Linked DNA regions of Ovis aries. The protein of the gene in region 5 interacts with the protein of the main gene of each other region in a pairwise test. Links are inferred from orthologs where the notes say so. Each region holds a gene or a part of one and is shown on either strand. Other genes may lie near its edges. The genes, in order: GRN, MGAT5B, CCNJL, GDPD5 and keratin-associated protein 26-1.

Evidence for each region.
Region 1: the proteins of keratin-associated protein 26-1 (region 5) and GRN interact in binary tests that used the Homo sapiens proteins (3 or more experiments, as listed by UniProt). The two-hybrid records come from large-scale screens. The link is inferred for Ovis aries from reciprocal best matches to the Homo sapiens genes KRTAP26-1 and GRN.
Region 2: the proteins of keratin-associated protein 26-1 (region 5) and MGAT5B interact in a two-hybrid assay, tested with the Homo sapiens proteins (3 studies listed by BioGRID and IntAct). The two-hybrid records come from large-scale screens. The link is inferred for Ovis aries from reciprocal best matches to the Homo sapiens genes KRTAP26-1 and MGAT5B.
Region 3: the proteins of keratin-associated protein 26-1 (region 5) and CCNJL interact in binary tests that used the Homo sapiens proteins (3 or more experiments, as listed by UniProt). The two-hybrid records come from large-scale screens. The link is inferred for Ovis aries from reciprocal best matches to the Homo sapiens genes KRTAP26-1 and CCNJL.
Region 4: the proteins of keratin-associated protein 26-1 (region 5) and GDPD5 interact in a two-hybrid assay, tested with the Homo sapiens proteins (2 studies listed by BioGRID and IntAct). The two-hybrid records come from large-scale screens. The link is inferred for Ovis aries from reciprocal best matches to the Homo sapiens genes KRTAP26-1 and GDPD5.

The regions. Positions count from the first base shown.
Region 1 is NC_056064.1:43,885,866-43,890,071, reverse strand, and holds the start of GRN (progranulin), read right to left. Parts: upstream 2,810-4,206; 5' UTR 1,129-2,809; intron 1-1,128. UniProt on the Homo sapiens protein: Secreted protein that acts as a key regulator of lysosomal function and as a growth factor involved in inflammation, wound healing and cell proliferation. Regulates protein trafficking to lysosomes, and also the activity of lysosomal enzymes.
Region 2 is NC_056064.1:54,245,277-54,248,791, forward strand, and holds part of MGAT5B (alpha-1,6-mannosylglycoprotein 6-beta-N-acetylglucosaminyltransferase B), read right to left. Parts: intron 1,007-3,515; coding exon 932-1,006; intron 552-931; coding exon 295-551; intron 1-294. UniProt on the Homo sapiens protein: Glycosyltransferase that acts on alpha-linked mannose of N-glycans and O-mannosyl glycans.
Region 3 is NC_056058.1:69,446,919-69,450,906, forward strand, and holds the start of CCNJL (cyclin-J-like protein), read right to left. Parts: upstream 2,815-3,988; 5' UTR 2,585-2,814; intron 2,196-2,584; 5' UTR 2,147-2,195; coding exon of another isoform or gene 2,140-2,146; coding exon 2,044-2,139; intron 1-2,043.
Region 4 is NC_056068.1:53,340,626-53,344,140, forward strand, and holds part of GDPD5 (glycerophosphodiester phosphodiesterase domain-containing protein 5), read right to left. Parts: exon of another isoform or gene 3,272-3,515; intron 3,265-3,271; coding exon 3,152-3,264; intron 422-3,151; coding exon 273-421; 3' UTR 1-272. UniProt on the Homo sapiens protein: Glycerophosphodiester phosphodiesterase that promotes neurite formation and drives spinal motor neuron differentiation.
Region 5 is NC_056054.1:126,218,540-126,221,382, forward strand, and holds keratin-associated protein 26-1, read left to right. Parts: upstream 1-1,455; 5' UTR 1,456-1,506; coding exon 1,507-2,061; 3' UTR 2,062-2,078; coding exon of another isoform or gene 2,079-2,139; 3' UTR 2,140-2,342; downstream 2,343-2,843. Other genes in the region: keratin-associated protein 24-1, read left to right, coding at 2,079-2,139. UniProt on the Homo sapiens protein: In the hair cortex, hair keratin intermediate filaments are embedded in an interfilamentous matrix, consisting of hair keratin-associated proteins (KRTAP), which are essential for the formation of a rigid and resistant hair shaft through their extensive disulfide bond cross-linking with abundant cysteine residues of hair keratins.

The DNA.
Region 1 (4,206 bases), on a different chromosome or scaffold from region 5:
CTGCAAAGTGCCAAGAAGCATTTGGCAACTGGCTTAAGCTGAGGCCACCCTTGATTCTGGGACCAGTCACTGCCCCCTGCCGAAGGCCCAGGACCATCTGAGCCTCCACAACAACAGCCTGTCCGGGCAAGAAGATGCGGGGCTTGAGGCTCAGCTTCCTACGTGTGTCCTGTGCGGGGGTCACACGTGCACCAGCGAGTGTACATCCATGAGCATGAATGCTGGCATGCGTACGTGAGTGAATCTGTGTCCCCAGTGCATGGCCTAACAGTTGAATCTCTGTGGCTGAGTGTGTGCAGATGTGGGTATGTGAGAGTCCGGAAGATCTGTGGGTTTTGTGGGCCTGAGCTGTGGGGAGGTAAGCCACCTCCATGGGGGTGGGAAAGACATCAGTTGCCCTAGGAAGAAAGAACTGAAGTCTCCCCTTGAAGGAAAGCCAGGGTTTCACTTCCCGAGCCAGTGCCTCCAGTTGCCTCTTCACCCAATGCTGTGTTCACACCTGCCCTCTGCTAAGGCCTGCTGGCAGGGGAGGGGAGGTCACATGATGACATGATCAACCACGGGGTTGAGAAAGTTGTGAAAAAGGAAGCATGATGTTGACGGAGTCTGGGCTGCCTTCCCCAAAGGCCAGCCACCACCTGCCTGCTGACTGTCCCCTCCCCATCCAAAGGAGACGCATAGGCTTGGTCAACCTTTGGGTCACCTGTGCTCCATGGGCCCCCAATACAACCAGGACCTTTCTTTTAAAAATTTTTTAATTAAAAAAATTGGGGGGCCATGCCCATGCAGCATGTTGGTTCTTAGTTCCCTGATCAGGGATTGAACCCATGCCCCCTACATTGGGAGCTTGGAGTCTTAACCACCAGACTGCCAGGGAAGTCCCACACCAGGCCCTTTCAGGATCCTCAAACATTCCCACCACCCTTCCCCTCCACCTCTCCCTATCCTGGAGCAGAAACCCAGCTGCATGTAGAGAGCCCATGTGTGCCCACCAGGCTGCCATCCACATCAGCAGAAGGAAGCAAGCCTCATTCTCTGAAGGGGAGTGGCCTTTCACTTCCTGAACAACTCTTCCCCCAAGCTCAGCCAGCCCTGCTAGTTCAATGGGGCAGGCCCAGAAGATCTTACCCTGTCTAGAGGGGCCAAAACAGTCATGTGTGCTGAACCAGTTAGAAGCCAGTGACAACATTCTACATATTTTCTTTTTTTTTTTTTTCTGTAACAACCATGCAAAGTAGGAATTATTACCTTTACTTTTCTAAGGAGGAAACTGAGGCTTAGAGATAGGAAGTAACCCGCCTATGTCAAATATCAAAACATAGAGATGACAGGCTCTGATGGCTCCAGAGTATATTGGACCTGGGTTCACAAGTGGTACCACGGACAGTGCCTGGGACAGGCCCCCCAAACCCAAGGAGGATAGAAGCCTGGTGTCCAAGCAGAGAAGAGGGATAGAAATGTTTCTCTGGGCAAGTAGACTGGACCCAGACAGAAATGTGGGGTACAGGGGCTGCCTGGATACTGCACATGAGTGCTAGAATGAAGGCCTCAGAAGTTGCTTCCTGTCTTTAGGCCTCAGTTCTCAGTCAGTCTATGGGTGGACACTGCACACTTTGTGTGGCAGAGAATAGCACACACAGGGTCACTCACATCCTCTCTCCCTCACCTGGCTTTCCTCACCGCCCTCTCCCCAACTCAAAGACCACCCCCTGGAGGCTATCTCCTGTACAGGAGAGGCTGAAGAAGACTGGTCCTGGACCTTGGCCCCTTTCACTCTCTTCCCCAATGCCCACAGCTCCCTGGAAAGGGAGCTGGCCGCCCTGCTTTTTAGGAGTCCAATCATAACCCTGCAGACTCGCTGGCCTGCCCTGGCCAGGAGGGATGCCTGTCTGCACACATCTCTGACTACTCAGCACCCTAGTGATTCATTTAGGTACATCCTTCTTCCTGGGTATCCTGGGGTTTGGAAGTAGTGTACGCTTCTACTGAATACACATATATGTACGCGCGCACACACACACTCAGAACCAGAATGGGGAAGAGGGAACCCAGTTCATCTCAGTAGGGTTCCAAGTGGTGGCACCCCAACCCGACACTGCCACTACAGAGAGGGAGGACACTGCCTCTTCAAGTCCCCAGCTCCGTCATCTTCCACTAGATGGCAGCCCCCCACTTCGAGTGCCAGGAGAAAGATTTCCCAAAAGGTGAGCCAACCCAACAGCGGAGAGAGCAAGAAAAAGTGGCCGGGGGAGGCGGAAGTTAGCCCCACGAGAGGAAGTTAGAGAGAGTCAGACACATCCCAGGGGTTCAATCACCACTCCCAAGTCCCTACTGTCTTTGAGGAGACCAGGATCACAAGCCCTACTCCCAGCCCTCTGAGCTCGGGGGCCAGGGGCGGGTGCCTCGCTTGCTGCCAGGCGCAGCGGGGACTGCCCACCAGCACCACTACCAGCACCTGCCGACGGGGGCGGAGTCGACTCAAGAACAGAGTGATCTCTGCTTTGGGAGAAGGGGCTGCAGCCTCCAGGGGTGCTGGAGAGAGAGCCCCTTCTAATGGGGGTCACTGCAATTACTGTTTACTCCCACCACCCATAAAACTCCCTCCAGTGCATCGGAGTTTCTATAAGAGAATCTTTTTTTTTGTATCACCGCTGAAACTCCAGAGGAGCCCCATCTCCCACGTCCCCCAGGCTGGGCCCCTAAGAAGGAGCAAGCGAAGTCCACCCTCCTTACCTGCGTCGGGGTCCGCGATCGCTGGGTAGCAGCGGTCAGGCAGCTCATCCACTTGGGCCACTCGGCTCGATGGCCCACCCACTTCAATTTCCATTGGTCAGGTGTCCGGAATGTCGCACTCCCATTGGCTACTCGTCGACGTAAAGGCGGGGCCAACCTGGGATCCTGTGTTTCTTTTCCTACTCAATTCACTCCCCTCCCTCCTTCCTCTCTCTCCCCAACCCCCCATTTCTAGGGATCATGTGATTGGAGAATCATGTGACGCCCTGGGACGGCTCAGCCTGCTTGCGGGTGCCCGCTGCCTTCTGTTAACCCATCCCGAGAGTCAGCTCCTTTTCGGGGACATTGAGAGCCAAGAGATCTGTCCCTTAGTGGGTGCGTTCAAGAGCATTTAAGGGGTGTCTCTTGGATTTAGAACAGTTGTGCATCCTGTCTCTATTCTGTTCATCCCATGCAGATTTAGTGCTCGGCAGCCGGGCCCCAACGGGGACTGAAGGAGAGTTGTGAGGGCAAGGATAAACAGACCTCAGGTCCTTTCCTCAAGGTGCTCACAGCAGGGGATGGGGAGGGGGTAGGAGAATCGTGTTCCAGGTGCTCCAGGTGTGTGTAGAGAAGAAGTAGTTGGTTAGATCTGAGCAGGAAAAAAGTGCCACCTTGGGGGCACTTTTTGAAGCTGAGTCTGGGAGGATTTTAAGTGGCAAGTGGAGACGGGTTGGAGAAGTAGCTAGACAGAGGGTATTGGGAAAAGCATTAGAAAACCAGATGGAAGGGCAGCCTTGGGCGGGGATTGAATGCCAGGTTCAGTGAAGTGGACTTGTGGAGTTGCTGGGTGTGTGGCACCAGGCTGGGCTGACTGTGGGTGTGGGTGCATACCGGAAGTAGCTCCTTAGTTTCAGTCAAGCCCTTACCTTTCAGGAATTGATTTGTTGATGCGCGCGTTAGCGAGCGTGTGTACTCGGTCGTATCCGACTCTGCGACCCCATGAACTATATAGCCCACAAGTCTCTGTCCGTGGAATTTTCCAGGCAAGAATATAGGAGTGGATTGCCATTCCCTTCTCCAGGGATGAAACCGCAGTCTCCTGGGTCTCCTGCTTTGCAAGTAGATTCTTTACCACTGAGCCACCAGGGAAGCCGTAAAGTGAAAGTGTTAGTCGCTCAGTTGTGTCCGACTTTTTGAGACCCCATGGACTGTAGCTTTCTAGGCTCTTCTGTCCATGTAATTCTCCAGGAAAAAATACTGGAGTGGGTAGCCATTTCCTTCTCTAGTGGATTTTCTCAACCCAGGGATCAAACCTGTGTCTTGCACATTGCAGGCAGATTCTTTACCATCTTAGCCACCAAGGAAGCCAGTGAGGGAGAAAAAAAAAAAACCGCACAGAACAGATTCACCAGCAGCAGGAGCTAGACTGCTTGGTGCCCTTTATGGGGCCTGGCCCAGGCAGAGGTGGGTGATGGGAGATGTACCAGGAGA
Region 2 (3,515 bases), on a different chromosome or scaffold from region 5:
TGACAGTGGGCAGGAGGGCAGGGCCACAGGCTGACGCATCAGGAGGAATCAGGCAGTTTCTGCGGCCTGGACCTAGAAGATGCCCAGACAGGCTGGGCAGGGGTCTGAGGCTTTGCCAAGGGTGTAGAGCTGCAATGTGGAAACCTGCCTGGAAGGTCCTTTCCAGATCCTTCCTCTCTGGGAAGCACTGAGTCCCCCTCACCCTTGCTGGCAGGCCAGGGGGCAAGGTGGTCAAGGGAGTGACAGGCTACAGGTGAGGTCAGCTGGGCCAGGTCAGGCAGGGGGCTCACTCACTTCTGGAAGGCGTCCTGGCTGTTGAGGAAGGGGAAGAACGAGGGCTCACAGATCAGCCCGTGGTCCAGGCAGGCGTCCGTGCAGGCCCTCCCCGTGGCAGCCAGCCAGGCCCGGAGAGAGTGCACTGGGGGCCAGGCCCCCGGGGCTAAGCTGGTGTTGTGGGCCCATTCGAGATGGGTGGCATTGGGAGCCAGGATGAAGGGGCTTTGCGGGGCTCGGGCCCCAGGTGGGGCAGGAGCCGGGTCTACACAAAAGTCCTGCCGGGAGGAAAGCAGAGTTAGGAGGAAAATTGGGGTGCCTCTCTCCCGCCGACTCAACCTACTCCCTACTTCCCCCTCACTTGCTACCAAACTTTTAAACAGCTTTATAATAAAATGAAAAATAAAAGTATTTGGATTTCCATGCTATGATATGGAGGCTGGGATGCTAGAGCTGGGGGTCCAGGAGAGGGGCGCTCCAGGCCTGGTCTCTGAGTAGTACTGTTGTCCCCCCAACAGTCCATCTCCACCCTTCACAGGGAAGAAAACAGGCTGGAGAAAGACTGGGGGTTTAAAGCACCCTGCACCCCAGGCAGAGGTGGGTCCTCAGACTCTGGAGCCATCCCACCCCAGAGACAGAGGGTGGGGGACCCACACACCTGGTGCTGGATGTAGGCATGGATTCGCTCCAGCATCCCCTCACATGTGTACTCGTAGGGCAGGTAGGGGTCCACCTGTGGGAGAGACAGGCAGACACATGGGTCAGGAGAAACCCTGGGGCTCCCCAGACCTGGCCGCTCAGCTCTGGGAGCAGAGATCTGGGGGCTCAGGCATCCTGCACCCAGTGAGCCGACCACTCCATCCACTCAAATGCCCTGCTCCTCAGTGCACCCCGCAGTGCCCCCAGGGGCTCAGGACAGCTCATCTCTCCTTGGCTCTCTTCCAGCTACACCAAGTTTTTCCTCTTTCCCTAAAGCTCACTGTTCCATCTCCATTTGGGCTGTGATGTCTGCTCTTTCTGAGCCAACCCCTGGATTCATCCTCTCCTTCCCCGGTGGCTCAGTGGTAAAGAATCCACTGGCAGGAGACATGAGTTCAATCCCTGGGTCAGGAAGTTCATCTGGAGGAGGAAATGACAACCTTCGCTAGTATTCTTTGCTTCCCTGGTGGCTCAGCTCAGCTGGTATAGAATCCGCCTGCAACGCAGGAGACCCTGGTTTGATTCTTGGGTCAAAAACTTCCCCTGGAGAAGGGATAGGCTACCCACTCCAGTATCCTTGGGCTTCCCTGGTGGCTCAGTAAAGAATCTGCCCACAATGCGGGAGACCTGGGTTCGATCCCTGGGTTGGGAAGGTGCCCTGAAGGAGGGCATGGCAACCCACTTCAGTCTTCTTGCCTGGAGAATCCCCATGGACAGAGGAGCCTGGTGGGCTACAGGCCACGGGGTCACCAAGAGTCAGACATGACAGTGACGAAGCACAGCATAGCTTAGATGTCACCTCCTCCAGGAAGCAGACCCAGAGTACCACCTCCTGTTTAACTCCTGTTAAAAGACCACTTTCCTTGGCCCCCACCCCAGGCTTCCCCAGTGTAGAACTGGCTCCTGTGTCATCATTTCTGATGTGTCCCTTGTCTGCCTCAGGTTAGGAGCCCCATGCACTCTGGGACCATGACTTGTTCACCATCGAATCCCTGATGCCTCACCCACTGCCCGGAACACAGTCCTCACTGGGGAAGTAGTCATAGGACGGAAAAGCATCCCAGCTCTGCCTGTGTCCTGCCCAAGATGTGGAAGGTTCACGCAAAGAAACCCAGAGCATCTCTCAGTCTGATGGAATGAGATCACATCTGTGAAGCTTCCTGCCCAGATCAGGCACCTGGGAGCTCCATGAACTAGGTGCCCCAAACGGAGGCCACACACCGTCCATCTAAATATCAAAGTTACAGAGCAGCACACACTGGGGCTGATGGGAGCAGATGGATTTGGCAGCTGGGGCCCGAGAAGTGAAGGGAACAGAGAGAGGAAGTGATGAGGCACCTGCCTCCCGGGAGTGGGGACCCCCACCTCTCCTCCACTCTTCTCGCCTGACCACCCCTGCCCTGTTTACACCAACCCCCCGGTGGCCCAGCACAAAGCCAGCTTGGAGGAAAGATCGGCCAGGTGGGCAGGAGGCAAGAGCAGGCTGACCTGGGAGATAGTCCATCTCAGACTCAGAGAAAGATCTGTTTTAGTCTTCAACACCCATGCCCCACTCCCCATGTGTGTGTGTGTGTAGGGGGGGCACCACACCCAGCCAGCCCACCTCCTGTTAATGCCATTTCCCAGCCAGCAGCGCCAGAAATCAGGTAGCTTCAGCCCTGGTAGTGAAATCCTGCAGGTCTGCTCGAGGCCACACTCCCCCCGCACCTGCCCTTCCTCATCATCAGAGGTGGAGTCAGAGCCCAATCCTGCCTCCAGGAGACCCCACCTCGAGGGGCTGCAGGCCCATCCTGAGCCCTCTGGCCAGGGGGACATGCCCGACATCAAGCTGAGGAGGGTCTTGGGAAGCGGCAGCCGCCACCAGGACCGAGTCTCAGGACAAGACCCCTCCCATCTGACCTTGCCCCAGTCCTCACTTCAACTGCACTGTGAGCTGGAGTCCTTAACCCAGGGGCAGTTCCGGGGTCCCAGAGAATTCCCCGGGTCCACACCCAGCCACATTCTTCACAGCCCATCGACCAGCACAGCTTTTCAGCCCTGAGCTCTGCACAGTCAGTCCCAGCCTGAGCTGCTGGCCGCCGAGGCCCCGTCGCCAGCTGCTGCCCTAGCAGTTCCCCAGTCGCCTCGGCTACAAGGCTTCAAGTCCTGGTTTTAAATAAACCCCCCGAAGAAGAGACTTCCCCTCCAAATGTCAGTGCCTGCTCTAGCAGCAGCCGCCGAGTTATCCCCCTCGTGGTTTGAAGCCCATCACGCGGTGATTCAAAGCCGCAGCCCCCCCCGAATGAGGGGACCTTTCAGAGCAGCCACGTCCCACCTGCCGCGAATCTCCCACCGGACGAGCCAGCCTGCCTGGAAATTACCCCCATTAGGTCTAATTACAGGTGTGCACAGCGATCTGTCTCACAGAATGGCAGGTGCTGGTCCTGCTGGAATTACCGGCCTGTGATAATGAGAACGGCGGGCAGGGAGAAAGCAGGCGTCCCTCCCCCCACCTACCTGCCCCTCCTCTCCCTCCCCTCACCTCGAGTGGCCTCACCCTGGAC
Region 3 (3,988 bases), on a different chromosome or scaffold from region 5:
CTGCTCCTTTGAGTGGCTGAAGGAGCGATGAGAACATTCTTATTTATATACAAAAGGTCGAGGATTCTCAGGTAACTGAGCTGGTTGAGTTTATACTGCTCTCAGAAATCCTTCCTGCCAGAAAGGAACCAATGAGGTCAAAGCCATTCCCCTAAGCTACCAGCAGAGCTGACAACCACTGGCACCTGCAAAGAACAAGCAAGCCCCGTTTTTACGGCAGGCCTCACTAATTCATCTAGCCACCACCTCCAGAAAAGGACCAAGACCTTACTACCTGGTCTACCACTCCCACTGCCGGCATGTTACCTGAACCACCAAGATCTGGATTTCTTTTCCATATGCCTTGCTATGCTTGCACCTTGGGCCGTACTGTTCTGGGGAGAAAAACCAAGGGAAGCAGAGGAAAGCCGCAGCCTGACAAGCAATGCAAAACAGAGATGGACTACTAGGTACAGGAAACAAGATAAGATAATTGGACTGGAATACAGCTACCCCCTCATGAGGAAAAAACTCTGAATAGCTAATGACTTTTTAGGCAGAACTCCACAGACATTGGGTGCAAATGCACTGGATGTGACCCAGGGACTCACTAAGGAGACCTACCCCTCGCTGTACTGGGTTGGATAGCGTCCCCCCAAAATTCATGTCTACCCAGAACCTCAGAATGGCTTTATTTGGAAATAGGGTCTTTTCTGATGTAATTAATTAAATTAAGATGAGGTCAAGCAGCCCCCATTCCAACGACTGGTGTCCTTATAAGGTGAGAAAACAGAGGCACAGACAGACATACCGACAGAACACCATGTGACAAGAGGCAGAGGCAGAGCGATGCATCTACCAGCCAAGGAAAGCCAAGGAGCAATGTGGCCCTGCTAACACCTTAACTGCGGACTTCCAGCCTCCAGAACTGTCAGAGAGCACATTTTTATTAAGGCCCCAGGTTTGTGGTAGCTTGTCCAGCAGCCCTAGGAAACCAATGCTGCTGCTGCTGCTAAGTCGCTTCAGTCACATCCAACTCTGTGCAGCCCCATAGACGGCCTCCTACCAGGCTCCTCTGTCCCTGGGATTCTCTAGGCAAGAACACTGGAGTGGGTTGCCATGTCCTTCTCCAATGCATGAAAGTGAAAAGTGAAAGTGAAGTCGCTCAGTCATGTCTGACTCTTTGCGACCCCATGGACTGCAGCCTACCAGGCTCCTCCATCCATGGGATTTTCCAGGCAAGAGTTTTGGAGTGAGGTGCCATTGCCTTCTCCATACACACCTTTCATTACACATCTGTTCCCCAAACCACCCTTCCCAGTCTCAGCTCAGGGGCAGGAGACAAGACACACAGGCCATACCTCTAACCCACCTGCAGTCCGCCACCTTCCCAGAGCCTATCAGCACTTCTCCCTTTAAGGGGTGGGGGAGAGCAGAGATCATATTTCAGCTGTCCCCATCTTCTGCCAGTGGAGGCACACTGGCAGGGGAGTGCTGGTTTTCTCCCCATTCTCCTAGTTCTGTAGCCTCTCCTTTAGACTAGTGTTTCTAAAATCTTATTCAGTCCCATCCTAGATATTTTGGGGGTGGGGCATAACTACATATGTCTTAGTCTAGTATTAACCTAACTGTTCTTTATATCATGTTACTACTTTTACTTAAAGAAACATATTTAAAGGAACTGCTATATCGTTACAATAAATGGAAAATCAGCATCATTTATTCTACACAGAGATTGCTAGATACATGTTTTTAAATTGCACAGTCAATACACGATAACTTTTTTTTTTTTAAGTCCGTTCATGTATCCTTTAAAATAATCTCGGGTGACAATACTATGGGAAATACCACCTTAAGCAGTACAGTTTAGTTGTCTAAGAACTCTGGGCTCCTATGCAGAAAAACCAATTTAAGCTCTCCAGTCCCGTTTCTCATTCCCCTTCTTCCCGCGACTGTCCCCGGAGGAGGCTAAGGGCAGAAGGAAAGAAAGGCACCGGGAGTTCCTAGCTCCGACGCAGGGCGACCCGAAGATATGGAGTCAAGAGCGAAAGGGACTTTACATACCCAGTCCTGCGAGTGACAAGGACGGGGAGGGACTGACCTTCTCGCGCAGGGTGCAGTGGACGTCCGAGGCGACGCGCCCTTCCCACCACGGCTCATCCATCATCGCGTCTGCAGCGCCGCTCTCCGAGGCTACCGGGTTTTGAGGGCACACCCTGAGTGGACACAGGCAACTTCAGAGCCCGAAGCGCGCCCCCCAGCTCCTACCCCGGCATCCCCATCCTCTCTTGTCCTCGGCTCGGGCCTCTGCCGGGCGCCCCCTTCTGCACCACTCAGCGGAGGACGGTCGCCTCCTATCCCAAGAAGGCTGCACCGTCCCCTCCCCTTTACTCGTGGGACCTGAGGCGACCTGAAGCTCTGCAACAACTTGCAGAAATTTTATCTTCCTTTTTGCAAAAGTTGCACAGAAAGTTGCAGACTCCGCTAGCTCTCCAGAGGCCGGGGCTCCGGCAGCCGCCACCGGCTCGCCGTCCCCAACTCCTCCCCCGCCGCCCAGCCTTTGTCCTGCTCCCACATCCTGCCCTCCAGCCGGGGCGAAACTCACGCATCCCTCTCCGGAGGTGGGGGGCTGCGGGCGCCGGGCTCTTCCCAGGGCCGAGCCGGCTGTGCCCTCGGGTGCCTGCAAGCAAAGGCGGCCCTGGCGCGGGGCGCTCCAAGCTCTCGACGGCCGCCTCCGTAGCCCTGCTCGCCCGTGCCGCCGCCGCGCCCCTGCTTGCGCTCGGGTCCCGCCGCGGCTCGCAGCCTCCGGGCCGCCGGGGGCCTCCCTCCTTCGCTGGGGGAATTGGGGGCCGGGCCTCGCGCATGCGCCGCCGGCCCCCGCACCCCGCGGGGCTGGGGGCTGGGAATTGGAGTCTTTCTTTCGCCAGAGCTGGCTGTTTTTCCAGTCCGCACTCCACCCCCGCCTGGGTGGAAAGCTTCCTCTCACCTTCGCGGGGACTCCCGGTGGTCTCCTGGACACCCGTGTGCTCACGCGGGCAGCGCTGGGACCGCGGCGCCACCTGCGCGCGCCGCTCGTGAAGGACGCGGGCAGGATGCCCCCAGAAAGTTCTGTCTCTCGCGTGCGCTGTTCTTACCTACCTTTAGTCGGTTCCACCTGTTTTTTCTTTTTAACTAGTCCTGAAATGCGGAGATGGCTGTCTAAATGTAAAATTCCCACGGAAGCCCCCCAAACCCGCTCTTGATTATCCAAGAGTCCTTGTTTCTGAAGGAGGCTCAGTAAATCAACGGATTTTGTTTTGTGCTCCTGCAAAGTATAGATCTACTCGTTACATTGGGAGAAAACCAGTGTTTCTGGAGGGTCAGGTGGATGGAAGCACTGTCTTTTTAATTTAGTTTTAATTTGTTTTCGGAAAGACACTCCCTTGAACCAGCCCCTCTGATGGAACAACAAATTGATTGCTTTTTGTGATACTTTTGGAGAGTCACCCGTTTCAATTCCAGCTACCGACTGGATGACTTTTGCCATGTTCCTCAGACTCTCTGGGAACCCACCCTCATGTGAAAATTGGGAATAAAAACTACACCAATCTGCTGGAGATACTGCATCGTTAAATAAGATAATTCGTATAAAGGGATAATCCCCATGCCAAGTATAAAACAAACACTCAATAACTAGCTGCTACAAAGGAGGCTTTGGTTTCTGACTAGTTTCCTACAGGCAGGTACCCAGCTGGAAAGAAATTTTTAAATCAGCTTTGATAAGCTTCAATAGGTGCTTAAAGAGAAGTTTTAATGTTAAAAAAAAAAACACCTTGTAAAAGTGAAAAATAACAATGAATAAGCATTAATAAATACAGGCTCTTAATAAAGAAATTATAAAGGTTGAGCAGAATAAGAAAAGTTTGAGGAAATAGAAAAAGGTGAAAATACCAACTTTGCACAAATTAACTTTTTAAATAAAATTCTAACAATTGTGGGTAGATGGGGGGTGGGGGAGGGATGACAACAC
Region 4 (3,515 bases), on a different chromosome or scaffold from region 5:
CCCCCAAAGCTTCCAGGTAAGGATGCCAAGGAGGGCCTCAGGGAGTCGACCAGGCCCCGGGCCCTGGGCCCCAAACTTCCCAGAAAACGGAGCCCCAGGCCTGCAGGGGCATCTGAGAGGCTAGAGGGGAGCCCCTCCAAGAGAGGCCGTGGCTGACAAGGGGCCAGAGCCTATGAGGAGGCTGTGGAGTCAGCGCCCCGAGCATGCTCCTGCCAGCTCTGTGCGCTTCTCTTGTCTCCACACGAGGTACAGCTGGACAGACGGGTCTTCAGCTAACGCCCACTCCGGTCTGTGAGGGTCTTGGCACGGCTGCCGCTCCCCCGAGGGGCCACCGGGGCGGTGGCGCTGTCAGCATACGTGTCGTAACTGTTGTCCGAACATACGGAGAGCTCATCGGAGACCTCCATGCCATCGCTGATCTCTGTTGGGCCACAGGGAGGCAAGATGTGAGTGCAGGGAGGAGAGGGGGCACATAAGGAGGACTGGCAGATGCGGTGGGGAGGCGTGGCCTGTAGCAACTCCCGAGCAGGCACTTGGAGGCTGATGCAACCTCAGGTTTCAGGTGTGGTACTGGTGTGTGAGTCTGGCATTCAAGGCCCTTCTCAGTCTCTGCAAACACTCTGGTTGCGCCTCATTCTCCTCTCCCCTGGAACTCTACCCTCAAGCCACAGAAAACTACCTGCACCCTCCTGAGCGTGGCACCGGCGTGTTTACTCTCCCTGGGGCTTTGCACACATTGGCCTATCTCCTGGGCACGACCCCCCAACATCACCTCCTTTTCTTAAAACCTGGCTAAATTCTTCTCATTTCTGTTACTGCTCCCAGGCTGGGAGGGGGCCTCCTCACCCTGCCCCCTGCTGCTCCCCCTGCTCCATCACCATCTGTGACCCCCTTCAGCCGGAGCACTTCAAGGACACGGATGAGGCCTGGGCATCAGTGTTCCCAGTGCCTGGTGCAGTGCTGGACGCACAGCAGAGCCTCAGAAAAGGTCTGCTGAGGGCAGCGAAGCCTCCCCAAGGGGACTCCAGGTGCCTGGGTGGGGCTGACGGTCCCTAGAGAGGACTTCTCAACCAGGAATGGGCAGAGGGTAAGACCTGTGGTTGATTCCTCAGGGCCAGCACCCAGAAGATGCTAAGTGAATGGCCTTTGGCACTGCAGGAAAGGTGAGGGGTGGGGTGCAGGATCTGACAGGCCTAAGTGCTGGCCTGCCTTCCATTCATTCTACCCACCCCTTCTGGCTTCTCGGAGTCAGGTACAGTGCAGGAGCCTGAGGATCCCAGACGCCCTGTTCTGGCTCCTCCTTCCAGGAGCTCCTCAGTGTTGCCAGAGAGCTGTGGAACACTAGGGTAGGCCCTCCAACCCAGCTCTGGTGCTCAGGGAAGGCTCCCAGGAGGAGGGTTTTGAGTGAGGGTAGGAGGAGTCGAGCATCCCAGAGGCAAGAATCTGCATATCCTTAGCACCCGGAGCAGTGCCTGCCACGCCTTGAAAGAAGGGTGAATGGAGTGACTGAATGAGTGGACGTTCACACAGTCGTTGGAGCCAGCCCCCCCTAAAACCACAACCACCCACTCTGGGTCCAGGTTCATTCAAGCAGCATTTAGCAAGCACCCCTCTGGGCCAGGCATGGCACTAACCCTCACAAGTACTCTGTGAGGGAAACCTCGCCCATTTTACAGATGAGATGTCTGAGGCTGAGGTAGGTTAGGTAACACATTCTTGTTCACACAGCGAGGGGCGTAAGCTGGGCTTTGAATCCAGGGCCATCTGGCTTGTAAATACCTCCCAGATCTCTCCTTTCCCATTTCCATGCCCACGATTCCCATCTGAATTATTGGTTTCCTTGCTTTCAGCTTCCCATTCTAACCTACCACCCTCCACACTTGTTAGGGATTGAATTGTGGGGACTTCCCTGGCAGTCCAGTGGTTAGGTCTCCATGCTTCCACTGCAGGGGGGCATGGGTTCAATTCCTGGTCAGGGAACTAAGATCCCATAAGCTGTGTGGTGTGCCCACCCCCCAAAAAGAGGTTGAATTGTGTTCCCCTCAAATTCCTATATTCCTACACTCCGCATGTGACTCTCTCTGGTAATAAGGTCACAGCAGATGTAATTAGTTAAGGTGATGTCGTTAGAGCGGACTGGTGTCCTTGCAAAGGAGAGCTTCAAACACAGAGATGCATTCGCGAGGCAAGGGGAGAGGCCAGGACCAGATTTTTCCCTCACAGCCCTGTTGACACCTTGATCGTGGACTCAGCATTCCCAACTGTGAGACGATACATCTCTGTTTTTAAGCCACCTTTAAGCCATCTCTGTTCTAAGCGCGTGGTACTTTGTTACAGCCCTACTGTAACAAAGGCAAACCTATCTGTGACCCTCCTCTGCTTCCAGAACAAAGCTCAAGCTCCTGACCACACACTCAGGCCCAAGTGCCTCCCCAGTGCCACCTTGGGGTGAACCAGCCAGAGGCACTCCCTTCAAGCCATGCGGAGTGACCTGGAGTTCTTGGTGCCCAGCAAGTAGGCATTCCTCGCTGCCTCTGAACACATGCTGTTCCTGCCTGGAGTGCCCTTCCTTCCCTCTGCTTGCGCAGTCCTCACCTCAAACCCATCAGCCAGGCCCCTCCTATCATTCCTTTCCATTTCAATGACATCACTCCTCACAAAGTGGGCCTGAAGCCTTCCTCACTGTCCCAGGCAGTGCTGAACCCCTCTCCTCCTTGCATCCCCATCTGTTATATCTAATTCTCCATGTATTTGTTTGTACAGCTGCTTCCTCCTTCAGTCTGGGAATGTCAACAGGCAGCAAGCAGGGGGGGAAATCAACATTTGTGGGGTTCCTGTATGAACCAGGCATATGGCAGGATGGACCTTCAAAGCAGACTCCTCCCCCAACCCCAGCATGTCACCCTAGCCCACCACCCCTGGGGCTGACACTGAGCCACAGGACCTGGAGCTGATGGCTGCAGGTGGAGGGGTGCGTGTGTGTGCTTCCGTGTCATTGTGACATGAAGCCAGGTGGGTATACGTATGTCTGTGCCATGTGCCTGTCTGTGCATGCTGCATGTGAAATATGTGTACACACACCCGTGTGAACCTGCAGGGTGCAGAGAACAGAGCCCAGAGCCTGTCTCAACCTGTCTGTGGAGTTGCACACCTGAGAAGATGAGCTTCTCCTTCATGATGCTGACGTCTCGGCTGGTCCGGCGCACTGCGGCACTCAGCATGATCTGCTCGGGGTTGTAGCTCCGGATGCCACCCAGGCGCCACCTGCAGAGACGGCCCCGTGGGCATCAGGTCCTTCCCCACCCTTCCTTGGAGCAGGGATCATGCCCACTTCCACAGACTCTCTGGAACTGGCCCGAGAGACCAGCAGGAATCTTGTCTGACTGTATAGAATCTGTGGGGAATCTGAAGCCCAGAGAAGGGCAGAGCTGGGGCCTGATCAGAGTCCACCGACTCTCAGCCATGGCTCTCCAGCCCTCTTACCTCCAGAACCCTACATCCGCTCCCCTTGCCCA
Region 5 (2,843 bases):
TGTTGGATCTCCTTGCAGTCCAAGGGACTCTCAAGAGTCTTCTGCAACACCACAGTTCAAATGCATCAATTCTTCGGTGCTCAGCTTTCTTCACAGTCCAACTCTCACATCCATACATGACCACTGGAAAAACCATAGCCTTGACTAGACAGATCTTTTTGGCAAAGTAATGTCTCTGCTTTTCAATATGCTATCTAGGTTGGTCATAACTTTCCTTCCAAGGAGAAAGTGTCTTAATTTCATGGCTGTAATCACGATCTGCAGTGATTTTGAAGCCCAGAAAAATAAAGTCTGCCAATGTTTCCACTGTTTCCCCATCTTTTTGCTATGAAGTGATGGGACCAGATGCCATGATCTTCGTTTTCTGAATGTTGAGCTTTAAGCCAACTGTTTCACTCTCCTCTTTCACTTTCATCAAGAGGCTCTTTAGTTCCTCTTCACTTTCTGCCATAAGGGTGGTGTCATCTGCGTATCTGAGGTTATTGATATTTCTCCCGGCAATCTTGATTCCAACTTGTGTTTCTTCCAGTCCAGTGTTTCTCATGATGTACTCTGTATATAAGTTAAATAAGCAGGGTGACAATATACAGCCTTGACATACTCATTTTCCTATTTGGAACCAGTCTGTTGTTCCATGTCCAATTCTAACTGTTGTTTCCTGACCTGCATACAGATTTCTCAAGAGGCAGGTCAGGTGGTCTGTATTCCCATCTCTCTCAGAATTTTCCACAGTTTATTGTGATCCACACAGTCAAAGGTTTTGGCATAGTCAATAAAGCAGAAATATATGTTTCTCTGGAACTCTCTTGCTTTTTTGATGATCCAGCAGATGTTAGCAGTTTGTTCTCTGGTTCTTCTGCCTTTTCTAAAGGCAGCTTGAACATCTGGAAGTTCACAGTTCACGCATTGCTAAAGCCTGACTTGGGGAATTTTAAGCATTACTTTGTTAGCGTGTGAGATGAGTGCAATTGTGTGGTAGTTTGAGCATTCTTTGGCATTGCTTTTCTTTGGGATTGGAATGAAAACTGACCTTTTCCAGTCCTGTGGCCACTTCTGGGTTTTCCAAATTTGCTGGCATATTGAGTGCAGCACTTTCACAGCATCATCTTTCAGGATTTGAAATAGCTCCACTGGAATTCCATCAGCTCCTCTAGCTTTGTTCACTTATGGAGTGGCGATTATTATTGGAATTAAGAAAACGACCTTCAAAATATCTGTCTTGGTTGGGTAATTTAAGGAGCACAGATACTATTTAAATCTGGTCATGCTGCTTTATAGATATCCTTAATCAATGGAAAGCCTTGCAAGGAATATCCAGTTTTATGGGAGGTGGAAGCATCACTTCCTGGACTCTAATGAAGAGTTGTTACGCGGCATCACACAACGCGGAAGAGTCTGTGCAGAATCACCGCCTTCTGTCAGGGTATATAAGACAGCACCGCGAAGGCGAAACCTGAGACACTCACTTCTTTGCAACAGACGACAACCTGCTCCTGAAACCTCACCATGTCTTGCCACAACTACTGCTCCGGAAACTACACCTTGGGGTCTCTCAGGAGTCCCTGTCACATTCCCGTCGCCTCCTCCGTCGGCCTCTACACTCCGAGTGTGAGCGTAGGAGATGGTCTCTGCTTGCCCAGCAGCTGTCAGGACCGAACCTGGATCCTGAGCAATGGCCAGGAGACCTGCAGTGAACCTACCAGCTGCCAGCCAGCCAACTGCGAGCCCAGCAGCTGTGAAACTTCCAGCTACCCTTCTTCTGGTTGCTATGTGCCAAGACCCAGCCAAGGAACGAGTTTTCTTCCCGCTTCTTCTTACCTCTCTGGATCCTGCCTCTCAGTGTCTTATAGACCGCTGGCCTATGTGTCCAGCAGCTCGCGACCCTTGAGCCTTCTCCCTTGTGGATATCGCCCCTCGGGTTCTTTGCCCTGTGGTCTTCAACCCATCAGCATTGTGTCCAGCGGCCTCAGACCTCTACGCCCTGTCTTCAGTGGATGCCAAACTCTGCCTTATGTGTTCAGTCCTTACCGTCCATCTTACTCTACCTGCGGAGGCCTGTAGCTTCTTTATTCCGGGCAATGATCACGCTGAAGATCCGAGACGACAATTGCAACTCCGCGCTCTTCTGCTCCTTTGCTAGTAGTGGCTGCCTGATCCAATGAAAGCTGTTCCTGTGCTTTTCCTGTGCCTGATCCAATGAAAGCTGTTCCTTTCCCATTTACATCTGTTTTTCATCTCTCCTTAGCATAAAATTATGATTTGCAGTGCTCTTCAATGTTGATTGGGTGTGGGAAGAATTTATTTGCTTTGGATTAAAATAAATGCGTTTAAGTCAGAACTAAGAACCTGGTGCTTCAGTTTGTCTTTATTTTAACACATGTGTGACTAACCTCAACTGCCTACAAGAGAAGTGGCTAGGACTTGGTATACCCAACTATGTGATTTTTACCTCACAGACTAGCTTGATGGTTTACTCCTCAAACTGCTTTCTAGATCTCTCTGATCCTACAACCTTAAAAGACCCAAAAACCTTTGGTGGAAGTTTGAAAAGACAAAATTAGGAATGATCTCCCTGTATCTCTCTTCCAGTGAACATGCCTTGACCAGAACATGCTTTCTAGTCAAAAACTAAAGGTATTTCACTCTTGCTTAAGCCTTTGATGGCTTCTTATGACTGATTCCTATACAACGAAAATACAAACATCATTACATTTGTTTCTTGCTTCTTCTTCTTCTTTTTTTTTTTTCATTGTCTCTCTCCTTCCCACTTCTTTGGCTTCACTTTCTTTTCTTCTCAATACTGCAAATTTTAAGGTCCGATGATTCTGACATACACATAGCTC